Linked DNA regions of Lonchura striata. The protein of the gene in region 1 purifies or fractionates together with the protein of each later gene. This does not show direct contact. Links are inferred from orthologs where the notes say so. Each region holds a gene or a part of one and is shown in the gene's direction. Other genes may lie near its edges.

Region 1 (7,219 bases):
CAAGATAAAGAGGTGGCAGCATGTGGGACTTGGCAGAGACTCCTGCCCCTGCCCAAGTGGACTCAGACGTCAAAGGGACACCATGGTCACTTCAGCAGAGGGCACTGGAGTGACAAGGATGTGGTGTGGTACTGCCTCTGCCTTGCTCTGCCTAGTGTAACTACAGACTTGCTCTGCTGCAAATTCTTGTACTTTCTGTTGCTTCAAAATTTTTATCCCAAAAAGAGAGGAGATGTGCTGAATGATATTGGAAGGTCTGAGAATGCAGCAAAGCAGGCAATGACATGTAAGTAAAAAAAGCAATAAGGAGGAGAATCTGGGGCACATAGTCCTGAATCACCATTCTGCATCCCACAACACCAGTGGGACAAGGATGATGAGATGGGATGCTTAAGGAAGTGAAAGCTCTAATAATCAAAACAGAGTTTCTTACCTTCCTTGTAATTTCTTCTTTTTTCACAGCAGCTGCAGTCAGAGAGTGTACTTACATAGACCTTTGCATTCCAAGTAGGCTGGAAACACAAACATTAATAATTGTATTGATATTCTACAAATTTATTATGAACAGCATCAAAGAACTGAAAAAAAAAAATAAACCAATCTGATGTTTGGTGGGTTATATAGTATTATTTATTTGTGCAAAATGTGAATTTGTGAATGCTTGGGAGAGAAGCTTTCAAGGAGGAACGCTCATTTTAGAAATATTGACTTCACATTCCTTTAGATCCTCTAGGCTTCTTTTATACATCAGAAATTGATACCTTGTGTGTTCTGTTGGAGATTCTGAGCATGTCCACAGTGTAAGGCTGTATTTTGCTAACAGTGTTTTATTATTTAAAATAAGCATATAAACTAGCTCCAATAGTAGCATCTGTATCCCATGGCTTGGATGACATTCAGCATACTCTTTAATGAACATCGGATTCTTTTTCAATGATTATGTTGGATATGGATACAGTCTTCTGCTTTTGTCAGTGGAATTTTATAGAAGTGCAGGAATTTAAGGTTTGATAAAGTGATGGTTTTAACATGATGGTCAAGCATCATGTGGTAAGGATTTTCTTTTTTATAATCTGTGGTTTTTGAGCAAGAATCTTCACTGTGTGAAATGCTTGCAGCCACCTGAAGAAGTATTTAATTCTTGCCTTCCATTCTGATATCACAGGTTTCAGAATGAGAATTTTTCCTTTATTATCAGCTTTATAAGTCGCATTGCTAACTAAAATAGCAAACTGAAACACTGCCAAGACATTTAAAAAAACACACATTTCTTTTTTTAAAGACAGCTATCCTGGTACCACAGCTCTAGAGCAGTTATATGGAAGGAGTAGTATAAAAATTGAATGGTGAGATTATACCATTTGACAGTCATACTGGTATTTTAGGTATTTCTCTCAGTCATAGAGGCTAAAATGGGAAGTAATTTTTAATGTATAATTTGAAGAACATTACTAGTGTGGACACAAATGTCAGATCTTAGAATCATGCCTACACATTATCCCCTTTTGGATGGGAAAAAAGAGACAAAGGAACTGAAAACTGAGACTATATGCAGTAGAAGAAAAATTCATTCCTGTGGGTTTTTAAGAACATAAAAGAAAGAACAACGTAAATAAGTGGAGATGAATTATAGCTGATTTAATGATAAGCTGAAATGATATTTGAAAACAGCAGTCCTAAAGACAAATAACATTTTGTGTTTCCAATGCTAAAAGCAGTGTATCATGCAGGAAAAAATGCTGCATAACTGGGGAAAGCAGACACTAAAAGTAATCTAAGTTATCTACTGGGATCAGATCCCAACAAGAGAACAAGCTAATCTACAAATTTCTGAACTTTCAGAAAACATAATGAAGAATAAACATTAGAAAAGCATGACTCTGATGGAAGTCTAAAGTGGAGTTTGAGAATTAAAGTGCTCATTTGTGCAGTGTTACATAATAAGAACAATAGGTGGTTTCATATCCCCCTTATTTAAATTTCAGCCATGTATTACTGTGGTAACCTATGCCATGGTACTGAAAATTGTTGTTAGCATGTTCCTACTGGTAATGCATTTAAATGTTGAGGGAAAACATAAACTACATGAAAAATGAAACCTTTCCACAATACAGGAACCAAAAGACAAAGTGGTAGAAGTCCCCCAGACTGGAATATTAAAACCCAGACTGAACAGAACATCAGAACACTGTACAGTCACTTGCTAGAAACTGGGAAGTAACAGGATTCAGGCCCTGACCATTTCCAGCTTCTATGACATTAAACCAAGGTTGCAAAGAACACCTACCATTTTAGCTATTCCTAATGCCATCTTCTGCTTCTACTCAGGACACTGACAACTCCAACAAGGTTCATGTTTCTACTGTAACATTTAAAGAGGCATCTGCAAAAGATGGCGATTATTGTTTGGAAAGTGTCTGTGGTACAGAATATCAAACTGGTTGGAAACACCTTAAAGTTCATCTTGTTCCAAACCCTGCCACAGGCAGGGACAGCTTCCACTAGACCGGGTTGCTCCAAACCCTGTCTTGTCTGGCCTTGGCCATTTCCAATTTACACTTATTTTCTAGCTCATAGTAAAGCTTTTGCTAAGTCAAAGGTGCTCTTTGTAAATATCCTAATCTTCTGTGTTCATAAGATCGCAATGCCTTTGACTGTGGCTAGAAAACTCTGTTTTCAGAAATTAATAGCTTTTCTTAATACTATTTTATTTCAACACTGATCCTTGATTAATATTAAGGTTGTTTTGGTGGAAAAGCCTAAATAATAGAGATTATTTCTTTAGTAAAACAGACAGAAATAACACTTTTAGTTACTAGCATCACATTTCTTGTAAAGTTAATGAAAATCTGTCTATGGCCAGTACAAGAGTCAGAAATAGAAGCTGAAGAGTAACCGTCCCCTATGTATTTTTTTTCTGTGTGTAGAAATTTGTGTCTTCTGTCTGCATGTCACAACCCAGGCTTTCTTTTGCAGGCCTGGTCTCTTGAGTCCCTGGCTCTGGGCATGGCTACTTCTGACTTGACAATGTCCTATTTATATTTCCAGGTCATGCAGTGCTGTACTTCAGATGCTGAACTGACAATAATACACTGGGTGCTCCTTACAATGTTATTAAAGGAAAATAGAAAAGCACTGATTCCCTGCACAGCATCCTGTACAAGGCATCACAGTGGGATTGATCCCACAGAGCCTTTAGCTGGGCATAGGTGTGATAAAATAGATGGGCAATAAAATGGGACCACTGAATACCATTTTTAGTCTTTAAATATAGCTTCCTTTTAATTTTACACCATATTAATATTCTCATAAACAGGCATAAAGTGAATGTTACCTTGAAATATCCTGATGCTCAATAGTTAGCTCTTTTAACAATTTTAAACTGTCAGTACGTGCTTAGTAAATGCTGCAATGTAAGTGACTGCAAGACATTCTGTAACTGCGTTTTAAAATTTCTTCTGTATCTGACTGTGACACAGGAAAGCTTGGAGGGTCCCAAAACATCTTATCTGTGGTATTGGTTAAAGCTAAGGATGATTTGTGTCCTGCAGCACACAAAGCTACGGAGGACCTTCTCCAGCACCGAATCCATCTCTACACCTTCACTTGGGACTGGCACGAAAACCCCTAAAGCTCTGCCCTGCACGGCCACGTAAGAGGGAACTTAATTTGTGTTATTTTTCACTGAAGTAAGACAAGTAACCGGCTTGAAGCAATAAGGTGTGATGGCATGAGGCAAGCGTAGGGTCCGTCAACAGAGGCTCCTGAGGGAGAGAAAATGGCGGGCGGGGGCCCTCAGCAAGCTCCCAAAACACAGGAGCCACTCCGTGTGTGAAAAGCCTCGACCTCCACCCCCGAGCCCGCTATGACAAGAGGAGGTGGGAGGGGGGGAAAGAGACCCCACCTGAAAGGAGGAAGGCATCTGACATCGGAGACCGTCCCTGAGGGAGCGCGAGGTACCCTGCCCGAGACGGGCGACAGCTCCCCCGCCCTGCCCTCACGGGCTCCGGGCCGTGACTCGGCTCGTTCTCCCCGTCCGGCCGCGTCCCCGTTGCGGGGGAAGGCGGGCGCAGGAAGGGGCGGGTGGTGCGGGGAGAGGGAGGGAGGTGGGCGGTGAGAGGAGCAGTCGACGCACAAGATGGCCGCTGCCGGAGTGGCAGCGGGGCGGCGGCGGGCGATGGCGGCGCTGCCCCGGGGCCCGCGTGTACTACTGGAGGAGCAGCAGCAGGGTGCTGTGGCAGCCCCGGCGTGCCGGAGCTGAGGGGGCCGGTGGGCGCTGCAGGAAGCCCGGCCCGCGTGGTGAGTGCGCTGCCTCCGCCGCGGGGTGCGGGGAACAATAGGGCGGGAGAGCTCTGCCCGCCTTGCCGAGAAAGGAGGCGGAGGGGCGGGCGTTGGGACGAGATGATTTCCAGAGGTGTTTTCTACTTGTAACAATTCCGTGACTTTGTGCCTTGCCAGGCCTCGGGCTCCTGCCGGGCTCGATTCCGAACGCCTCGGGCGGGCGGGGAGGATCCGCGGCTCGCTGTGCCCGACGGGGGGAGAGGCGGAGGGCGGCTGGGTCCGGCTGGGGGTGGGGAGAGGCGGCATCGCCTCAGGCTGCGGCGGCCGAGGGACAGGCGGGTTTTGTGTGCCCCCTCTGCCTGCTGTTGTTTTTTCCTGGGGCTCTGCCTGCCTCTGCGCGAGAAAACTCGTCCCTGTGTCGCGTTGAACAACAGAGACGGAGGGAAAATAATGACAGAGCCCTACCCGTCCCCGGGACACCTCTCCGCCCTGGGTTGTGGCTCTTTTGTCTGTCGTGCCTGAGGGAAGAGCGAGGTGGCCGCGGCTCCCTCTGCATGGGGACAAACGATGGTGAAACCGCACAGGATCTCCCTGACTTGCACTAGTTTTTCCACCCTGGCATTGTTTTGGCTGTTGGATTACACCCACAGAGTGGGTAGGGTTTCATGCCGGGGGTGCGGTGTTGGTATAGCTGGGATTTTATTTGCTTTGATGGTTGGGAATGTCCTGGTGTCAGGTTTTGTCTTCAAAAGCCATTGTGAGGTCTGTCTTCTTTTAAAGCAGGGAGCTGATGCAGGTTTTGATTTTTTCTCCTAGGAATTACGAATGTTTTGTTTACATCTACATGCCTTCTTGTCCGGAGTGTGTCTTATTTTTATACGTTTTAGTCAAGTGCGAGTGACAAATCATTTGTTCCTCCAGTAGAAGCTACGGTTTTCTGTCTTTTTTTGCCATATTGAAAATGGCTGAAGTGGGGGAAAAAATTAAAAATTTGCAGAAATAATTAAAAGGTTCAAAGTAACCTGGATTGTGACTGAGCTGTTTTAATCATTGTAACTGTGCTGTTATTTAGTGACTCTGCTGGAAGATAAATGCAGCATTTATACTCTATTCACATTATTTGGCTATAGAAATGTGAGATAATACAGGAATACTCTGAGGCAGAAGTTAATGTATTCCTAAACTTATGTTTTCTTACTTATTTCAGGCTTATGAGGATGTGGAGGTGGTTAATTTTGTCAGCTATAAATGTCTGTATTGCTGTGTTTGAAGTCAATGAAGCTAATATGGGACTTCATGGCTATATAAATAATCCGTGTTCAGGAGCAGTTTGTACATTATTGCCAGTTTCTAAGCTTCACCAGGAGCACCATGGCTTTCTTCAATGCATTAATACACAATGCTGATAATGAAATTGTGCTTCCCACTAACATAAATAGAAGCAGATGTTATCAGGCACGTTTTCCTTTCCCAGTGATAGCTTATGGCTTTGCCTTCCTGTCCTAGAAAAGGGCCTGTCAAAGCAGACAGCCTGACAGGCTGCTTGGAGGGAAATTTAGAAAGGCAGGTACCATCAGAGCAGTCTGTTTTGACAACCAGAGACTTGAGTTTGTCAATCACACATGAGCAGCAGGAACCTTCATTGACATAAGTGGGAAGTAACTTGTATGGTTTCTGGTGTTTTGCTGTTCGTTTTTGTGAGGTTTTTTTTTGTCAGCTTTGTATCCAAACTAGTTTTGTTTAAAGTGAAATATTTTAGAAATTTCTGACAGGATTGTTGTATGCTGATAATTTAAAAAACTGCTGTTGCAGTGAATAAACTGGACATATGATAAACATATGAATCTGGAAATGGCAGACATTAATATCACAGAGTTTAATTTAGGGGCATCTTGAGGCATGTATTATTATATAAAAGTGCTCATGCAGATGAAGAGAAATGAGCAGGAATGCTTTTGGAAACTTCTGATGTGTTGCCAATGATTCACCAGCAATCTGGGTGGAGCCATTATCAATCTTGTTGAATTAGACATCACAGAAGTTGAGATTCAGTGAGTGTGTATATTAAAATAATAATGCTTTAATTACTTTGTATGTGGCTCAGAAGTCTTAGGTGACACTGATGCTGGCTACCTTTGATATTGATGGCAAAAACTGATATTCCATTTAATTAGGGTGTCTATCTCTTAACTAACCAGTGCTGTAAAAGGTTGTTTTGTGATACTTAGGAAATTGACCTTTCCCAGGCTGTAGAATGTAGTGATACGAAGGATAATTACTTTTTTTTTTTTTTTAATTCTGCACCAAGAATTTGGTTTACATGCTGGGTACCTGGGGAGAAGAAGTTTCAGCCATTTGAAAGAGCTTGTGGAGTCATACCTTTCCAATGGTATGACATGTAAAGCTGAATTAGAAGGAAAGAACTCATCTGCATGTAGGTTCCCAAACTTCCCAAGAATCTCAGAACAGTGATGCAAAAGCCTCTATAAGCTCTCTTTTAAGCAGGTGACCTTTATAAAACTTCGTATTTTTTTGCAAAACCTACTCATTATTCAGAATTCCTTTTCCACCATAGACTTATGGAATTATTTTGCAGATGAAAGTCTGTGTGGTTTTGTGGTTGTTTTTCCCACACCCAGTAAATCAGGTGGTTGTTTGCTGGAGCATCCCAAGTAACATTGGCTGGTGGGCCAGAAAAACAGATCTGATTCCAAGTACATGGCAGATAAACATTGGGGAATTAGTAGTTTGAAGTTCATGTCTTGGACTGTACTAGGTAACAAATGGAAAACCATTATCATACGGGGAAAAAAGATATAATATGTTGCTATTGTGAAAGATTGTTATATAAACACAGTGCACTGACTGAAATTTCAGTGTGACCTTCAAGATTCCATGTAGGCTCTGTTACAGTAATGAAGTCTAGGGCCTCTGCTAA
Region 2 (7,301 bases), on another chromosome or scaffold:
CGGATTTCTCCCCGTTTTCCCCCAATTCTCCCTCTCCCCTGAGCCAGGGTCGGGTCCCTGTTGTTCCCTTAGGGTTTCAGGGTGTCCCCCCCTCCCCAAACCCACGCTGGGGGGGCTTTGACCTCTGACCTCACCCGGCCCAGGGAATTCGGGACCCCCCTGGGATTTTGGGGTCCCCTCCCATGGGAATTGTGGGGCTATCCTGAGGATTTTGGGGACATTCCTTGGGATTTCGGGGGTCCCCAGATGGAATTTTAGGGCACCCCTCCCCCCCCCCTCCCCCGGTTTGGGTCCTGCCCATGGGAATTTCGGGATTTTCCCAGGAATTTGGGAATTTTGGGTCCCCCCCATGGAATTTCTGGGTTCCCCCTGGAATTTTGGGAATTCTGCCCCCCGATTAACAGTATTAACCCCTCGCCCCACACCCCCCCAGTCCCAAACTGGTTTGGACTGGTTGGCCACGGCCGGGGTTGCAGTTTCTCGCTGACTTTTGCCCAATTCCGGGCGCTTTTGGCCCAAATCCCGCCGCAATTCCGGGCCGGCCGCGCCCCCAGTGCCTCTGGAACCCCAAATTCTCAGGGAAAAACCAAAAATCCACAACCCCGCGGCCGGAATCGATGGAAAACGGCGCTTTTGCACCAAAACGGGCTGGGGGGGGAGACTTGGGGCAAAAAGGAGCCAAATTGGGATTTTCGGGTTTGAGGCGGATTCTTTTCCTTTCTTCCTTTAATTTTTTGGGCACTTTTGGCCCCAGTTTGAGTGGCTTGTGAGGAATTTGGCAATAACGAAACGGCGCCGCTTTGGGGAGTTGATTTTGAACCCTTCCATGCTGTTTTTTTCCCCATTTTGAGCCAAAATCATCATTTCTTTTGGGTCTGTTTGAGGGTTTTTTTGGGTGGATTCCTTAAAAAATCCCCTCGTTTCGGGGTGAAGCCACGGGGAGGGGGAGGGATGGTTCCGGGGGGTGCTGGACCCCAAAATCTCTCCTTTTCCCCCCGAAGCGGTGGCGGAATTATTTAATTTGTAAATAATGTACAAATTTTTACCAGCTCCGGTGTAAATACAATAAAGGTTGCAGTAAAGCTCGGCTCCTCCCGCCGGCCATTTGGGGATTTGGGGAGGATTTGAGGGAATTTGGGGCGTTTGAGGGGATTTGGGGTGAGGGAGGGGCTGGGCTGGGCGAGATCTGAGGGGGCTTGGAGAGGTCTGGGGGGGATTTGGGGGCTCTGAGGGGACCCTGAAATGGGGCTGGGGGCTCCCCGCGGGACCCTGAAATCGGCCCCAAATCGGTCCCAAAATTGGACCCAAACCAGTCCAAAATCAGGCCCAAAGCAGCCCGAAACCAGCCCAAAATTGGCCTCAAATCAGCACCAAAATTGGCACCAGTCAGCCCCAAATCAGCCCCAAAATCAATCCCAAAATTGGCCCCTGCTCTTATCTCAGCTCCCTCCGCATTTTCCCTCACATTTTCCCATTTTTTCCCCTTTTCCCCCACATTTCTGCCAAATTTTCCCCATTTCCCCCCCAGCTCAGAAAACCTGACGACCCCTTGGGGCTCCTGGGACCCCTCAACTTTTCAGGAGGTGACCCCAACCCTTCCTACAAGTACTGGTACCAGGTGGGGTTTTTGGGGGGGGTTTTGGGGTCTCCAGGGGGGTCCCCAGGCTGATCCCCCTCCCCTTTTATCCCTCCCCAGCACAGCTCCAGCCCCGGTGGCCACCAGAGCCCCTGGTGCTGCAGCCACTCCCCACGCCCCTGCACAGACTGGGGGACCCCTCCCCAAAATTTGGGGGGTGGGCATTGTAAATAAAGAGGCTGTGAGGAGTTACCCTCATTTATGAGGCGTTTATTCCGTTTTGGGGCAGCTTCCAGCAGATTTTGGGCTACCCCAAAGTGGATTTTGAGATCCTCTCTGTGGGTTTTGGGGTGACCCAGGTGGATTTTGGAACCCCAGTGTGGATTTTGAGGTACCCCCAGCAGGTTTTGGGGTGCTCCAGAAGGATTTGTGGCTGTCCCCAGCAGCTTCCAGGCAGATTTTGGGGTGCTCCAGGTGAATTTGGAGGTGCCCAGGTGGATTCCAAGGCTCCCTGTGAATTTTGAGCTGCTCCCAAGAGATTTTGGGCTGCTCTAGGTGGATCTGGAGGTGCCCCAAATACATTTTGGGGTGCTAAGGTGGATCTAGAGGTGCCCCAAACAGATCTTAGGAGGCCAAGGTGGATCTGGAGGTGCCCCAAGCTGATTTTGGGGTGCTCCAGGTGGATCTGAAGGTGCCCCCAGGAGCTGTTGCGCTGCCCAGGCTCCATTTCGGGATGCTCCAGCCGAATCCACAGCAGATCCCGGGCAGACTTTGGGATCTCCCGGGCAGATTTTGGAGTCCTGCAGCAGTTTTGGGGTCCTCCGGGCAGCTTTTGGGGTCTCTAGAAGCCCGTCTGGAGCAGCCACTGCCGCACCTGCGGCCCCCAGTGCCCGCGGAGCCGCAGCGTCGCCGTCACCTCGTTCACCTGCGCCGGCACCTCGGGGACCCCCAGGGAGCCCAGGAACGCGCTCAGGTCCCGCTGCAGCGCCTGGGGGGCGTCGCGGGGGTCAGGGGGAGCCCCCCAAGACCCCCGGGGACCCCCAAAACCTCCCCCGACTCACCCAGATGTCGCCGTGGATGTGGCGCAGCTCCGTCAGGCGCCGGCCCTGCCGCTGCCCCTCGTACACGGGCAGGTTGTGCAGGCGCGAGCGCCGCACGAAGTAGGGCAGCTCCGGGGGGGGCCCTGCAGCAATTAACACCCCCGGGGGTAATTAACATCCCCCGGGGGTAATTAACAGCCCCCGGGGGTAATTAACAGCCACCCCGCCTAAATTCATTTCACTGCGCCTAAATTTGCTTCACTGCGTAGTTTGGTATTCACTAATTTCTCCTTCAAGGAAATATTTTGGAGCCTTCCCCGGGGTAATTAATACTCACCAAGGGGTAATTAACACTCGACAAGGAGTAATTAACATCCCCCTAGGGTAATTAACAGCATCTGGGGGTAATTAACACCCCTCCAAGTGAATTAACAGCCACCACGCCTAAATTCACTTCTCTGCGTAGTTTGGTATTCACTAATTTCTCCTTCAAGGAAATATTTTGGAGTCCTCCCCGGGGTGATTAATACCCACCAAGGAATAATTAACACTGTCTGGGGGTAATTAACACCCCCCCAAAGAAATTCAACCCACCCCGGCCCAATTCACTTTGGGGTAAATAAATCTTCTTTGCTCTTTGGGCTGAGATGATTCCCTCTTGAAGAGAGTGTTTTGGGTAATTAACCCCAGGGTAATTAACACCACACGGGGGTAATTAACAAGCTCCCAAGGTAATTAAGCCCCCCAAGGTAATTAAACACCTCCCACAAAGTCATGAAGCTCCCCCAGGATAAATTAACTGATAAAGAACCCCGGTGATTCTTGCTTCGGGGTAAATCACCCCCTCTAATTACCCCCAGCGCTAATTACCCCCAGCTAATGAGCCCGGGTAATTACCGACCTGCGGGGGGGCTCCAGCCGGACGGGGTCGGGTATTTGGGGTGCGGGGGGGGCTCAGGGACGCGGCTGGGGGGCAGCAGCCGCTCCACGAACCCAAATTCAGCCGTGGACTCCTGATAGCCGGGGGGCCTGGCCGGGGTCTGTGGGACCCAAAAATCCCTGAGAGACCCCCAAAAATCCCTGAGAGACCCCCCCAAATCCCTGAGAGACCCCCCAAAATCCCTGAGAGACCTCCCCGAAAAATCCCTGAGAGACCCCCCAAAATCCCTGAGAGACCCCCCAAAAGTCCCTGAGAGACCCCCAAAAATCCCTGAGAGACCCCCCAAAAATCCCTGAGAGACCCCCCAAAATCCCTGAGAGACCCCCAAAATCCCTGAGAGACCTCCCCGAAAAATCCCTGAGAGACCCCCCAAAATCCCTGAGAGACCCCCAAAATCCCTGAGAGACCTCCCCCAAAAATCCCTGAGAGACCTCCCCCAAAAATCCCTGAGACCCCCAAATCGCCCTCCCCCATTTCTCCACCTCAAAACCCCCAGTTCCCCTCTCCCTTTTTAGGAACCCCCCAAATCTCCCCTCTGCATTCCCCCCCTCAGTTTCTTTCCCCAAACCCTGCCTCCCTCCCCAGTTTCCCCTCAGGCTCCAATCCCCCTTCACCCCTCAAACCCCGCACTCCAACTCCCCCCTCACAGCTCCCCAGCGAGCCCCTCCCACCCCAAACCCCCGCCCCAGGGTACCTGCACCCCCCTGAGCCCCCGGCCCAGCGCCCGCAGCCTCCGGCCCAGCGCCGCCAGCGCCGCCATCTTGGCTCCTCCTTCTTCCCCTCCGCCTTCCCGCCGCGTGACGTCAGCGCGCACGTACGTGACGTCAGCGCGCGCACGTGACGTCAGCGCGCTCCCCGCGCACACGCTCGCAGCCCTGAGGGAGCCGCTGAGGTGGGGCCGGGCCGGGGGCGCCGGGCGGGAACTGGGGGGGATCTCAGGGCTCTGGGGGCTCCGGGCCGGGAATTCGGGGGGATCTCAGGGCTCTGGGGGGGATCTCAGGGCTCTGGGGGCTCCGGGCCGGGAATTCGGGGGGATCTCAGGGCTCTGGGGACTCCGGGGAGGGAATTCGGGGGGATCTCAGGGCTCTGGGGGGGATCTCAGGGCTCTGGGGGCTCCGGGGAGGGAATTCGGGGGGATTTCAGGGCTCTGGGGGGGATCTCAGGGCTCTGGGGGCTCCGGGCCGGGAATTCGGGGGGATCTCAGGGCTCTGGGGACTCCGGGCCGGGAATTCGGGGGGATCTCAGGGCTCTGGGGGCTCCGGGGAGGGAATTCGGGGGGGATTTCAGGGCTCTGGGGGGGATCTCAGGGCTCTGGGGGGAATTTCAGGACTCTGGGGGCTCCGGGGAGGGAATTCGGGGGGATCTCAGGGCTCTGGGGGGCATCTCAGGGCTCTGGGGGCTCCGGGGAGGGCTTGTGGCGGCTCTGAGGGGGTTTGAGGTGGGGGGCAGCGTTGTGGAGGTTCTGGAGGGGCTCACGGGGGCGTTGCTGGGGGCGGGAGGGGTTCAGGGAAGGATCCTGAGGGGGTTTGTGGTGGGGAGGCTTTCTGGAGGAGTTTGGGGGCATCTTTTGTGGGATTGGGGGGTGTTTGGGGGTCTGGGGAGGTGTTTGGGGAGCTCTGAGGGGGATTCAGGTGTGGGGGGGTCTGGAGGGTTATTGGGGATTTGGGGGGGCTGCAGGAGCAGCTGGGAAGGCTCTGGAGGGGGTTTGGGGGGGTTCTGAGGGGGCTGCAAAGGTTTGGGGGTGAAGGGCGGGCCCTCGAGGCCTTGAGGGGTCGTTGGGGGGCAGCTCTGAGGGTGGGGGGCACCCAAGGGTGCTGCCGGTGACCCCCAGTGTGTCCCCACCCCCAGCACGGCCCTTTGTCCCCATGGCCCCCGGCCAGGTGACAAAGTCCGGGGGGTGGGAGAAGTACTGGAAAACGCTCCCAAAAGTGACAGGATTCCACTCAAAAGAACCAGAAACACCCCAGGACACACCCCAAAACTGCCAAAAACACCCCAAAACTGCCACAGCCCCCCAGAAACACCCCAAAACTGCCATGATCCCACCCAAACCAGCCAGAAGTACCCCAGAACACACCCCAAAACAGCCATAGTCCCCCAGAAACACCCCAGAACTGCCACAGCCCCCCAGAAACAACCCAAAATAGCCAGAAACACCCCAAAACTGCCATGATCCCACCCAAACCAGCAGAAGTACCCCAGAACACACCCCAAAACTGCCACAATCCCATCCAAAACAGCCACAGCCCCCCAGAAACACCTCAAAACTGCCACAGCCCCCAATATCTACTCCTGTCACCCCCAAAAGCCACCACTCACCTCCCAAAAAATAACCCTTGAATCACCCCCAAACCACTCCTCCCTCAGCTCCCTCCCTTCCCCTGATCTGCCCCCATTCCCAGGGGGTTCCCCCCCATTTTTGGGTTTTGGGGACCCCCCTCACCGCCTAATTCCCCCCTCCCCAGCCGCCACCATGCAGCTCTTCATTCGCGGCCAGACCCTCCTCACCCTCGAGCTCTCCGGCTCCGAGACCCTCGCCCAGATCAAGGTGAGCCCCCAGATTCGGGCTGTCCCATTCCCCAATCCCACCCTGATTTTGGGGTGCTGACCCCCTCTCTCTGCCCCCCTCCCCAGGAGAGGGTGGCCGAGCTTTCGGGGATCCCCGCCGAGGAGCAGCTGCTGCTGCACGCTGGGACCCCCCTGGACGATGAGGCCGTGCTGGGGCAGAGCCCCCTCCCCGAATTCACCACCCTGGACCTCTCCACGCGCCTGCTGGGCGGTAATTCCGGGGGGGGCCGCTAATTACCGGGGTGTTAATTAACAAAACGACCCCCCCCAACACCCCCATTTTCTTCCTCCCCCCAGGTAAGGTGCACGGCTCGCTCGCCCGCGCCGGCAAAGTGAGGGGCCAGACCCCCAAGGTGAGCGCTGAGGGGGCTCCCCCTGGCTTGAGGGGGTTTGGGGACCCCGCCAGGGGTTTGGGGACCCCCCTGACCCCCCCGTATTTAACCAGGTGGCCAAGCAGGAGAAGAAGAAGAAGAAGACGGGGCGGGCCAAGCGGCGCATGCAGTACAACCGGCGCTTCGTCAACGTCGTGCCCACCTTCGGCAAGAAGAAGGGTCCCAACGCCAACTCCTGAGGCCAATAAAGGAATTTGGGATCAATTCCCAGCATTTTGGGGCTTTACGAGATTTTTGTGTGTTTTACTGGGGTTTTTGAACTTTGTTTTAAAGTTGGTTGTGAAGCGTTCCGCGTGGTTTGGGAGTGAAGCTGGCCTAGAAGGGGTTCATAGGGGTTCCCGAGCAGCTGATGGGGCTGGTAATTAGAGAGAGGAGCTTAATGAGCCTTAATTTGGAGGCTGCTAATGAGAAGACTCTGTCTGGGGAATGATTCTCTACTGGGGAGGCGGAGAGAGCCGAGCGGTGCCGGAAACACCCGAGCGCGGCGGTGGGCGGGGCTGAGGAGCCGAGCGGCGACGGAAACACCCGAGGGATCCACGAAACCAGCCGGAAACACCCGATTGGAGGAGCGCGGAGCAGACAAGCCGCCATGAGAATTAATTGACGGCTCCGAACCCTTCGGAGCGCTGCCGGAAATTACCGAACGGATTCCGGCCGAACCAAACCTCCCCCGGCCTCAGCCGCCAGGGGGCGCCCCTCGCGCCTTTTCGCGCCTTTTCCGCCGCGCCGCGCTCCCGCCCCGCCCCCTTTCCCGGCATGCCCCGCGCACTATTTAAGCGCCCGCC

What was found. The genes of interacting proteins can lie anywhere in the genome.
Region 2: the proteins of RC3H1 (region 1) and FAU purify together in Homo sapiens (affinity purification with mass spectrometry; 3 studies listed by BioGRID, with this or other methods). This does not show direct contact. The link is inferred for Lonchura striata from reciprocal best matches to the Homo sapiens genes RC3H1 and FAU.

Annotation. Positions count from the first base shown.
Region 1 is NC_134611.1:27,340,188-27,347,406, forward strand, and holds the start of RC3H1 (roquin-1), read left to right. Parts: upstream 1-4,109; 5' UTR 4,110-4,299; intron 4,300-7,219. UniProt on the Homo sapiens protein: Post-transcriptional repressor of mRNAs containing a conserved stem loop motif, called constitutive decay element (CDE), which is often located in the 3'-UTR, as in HMGXB3, ICOS, IER3, NFKBID, NFKBIZ, PPP1R10, TNF, TNFRSF4 and in many more mRNAs.
Region 2 is NC_134638.1:178,767-186,067, reverse strand, and holds FAU (ubiquitin-like FUBI-ribosomal protein eS30 fusion protein), read left to right. Parts: upstream 1-4,379; 5' UTR 4,380-4,448; intron 4,449-6,021; 5' UTR 6,022-6,029; coding exon 6,030-6,104; intron 6,105-6,190; coding exon 6,191-6,335; intron 6,336-6,421; coding exon 6,422-6,477; intron 6,478-6,569; coding exon 6,570-6,695; 3' UTR 6,696-6,729; downstream 6,730-7,301. Other genes in the region: MRPL49 (large ribosomal subunit protein mL49), read right to left, coding at 2,418-2,564, 2,638-2,759, 3,518-3,656, 4,251-4,316.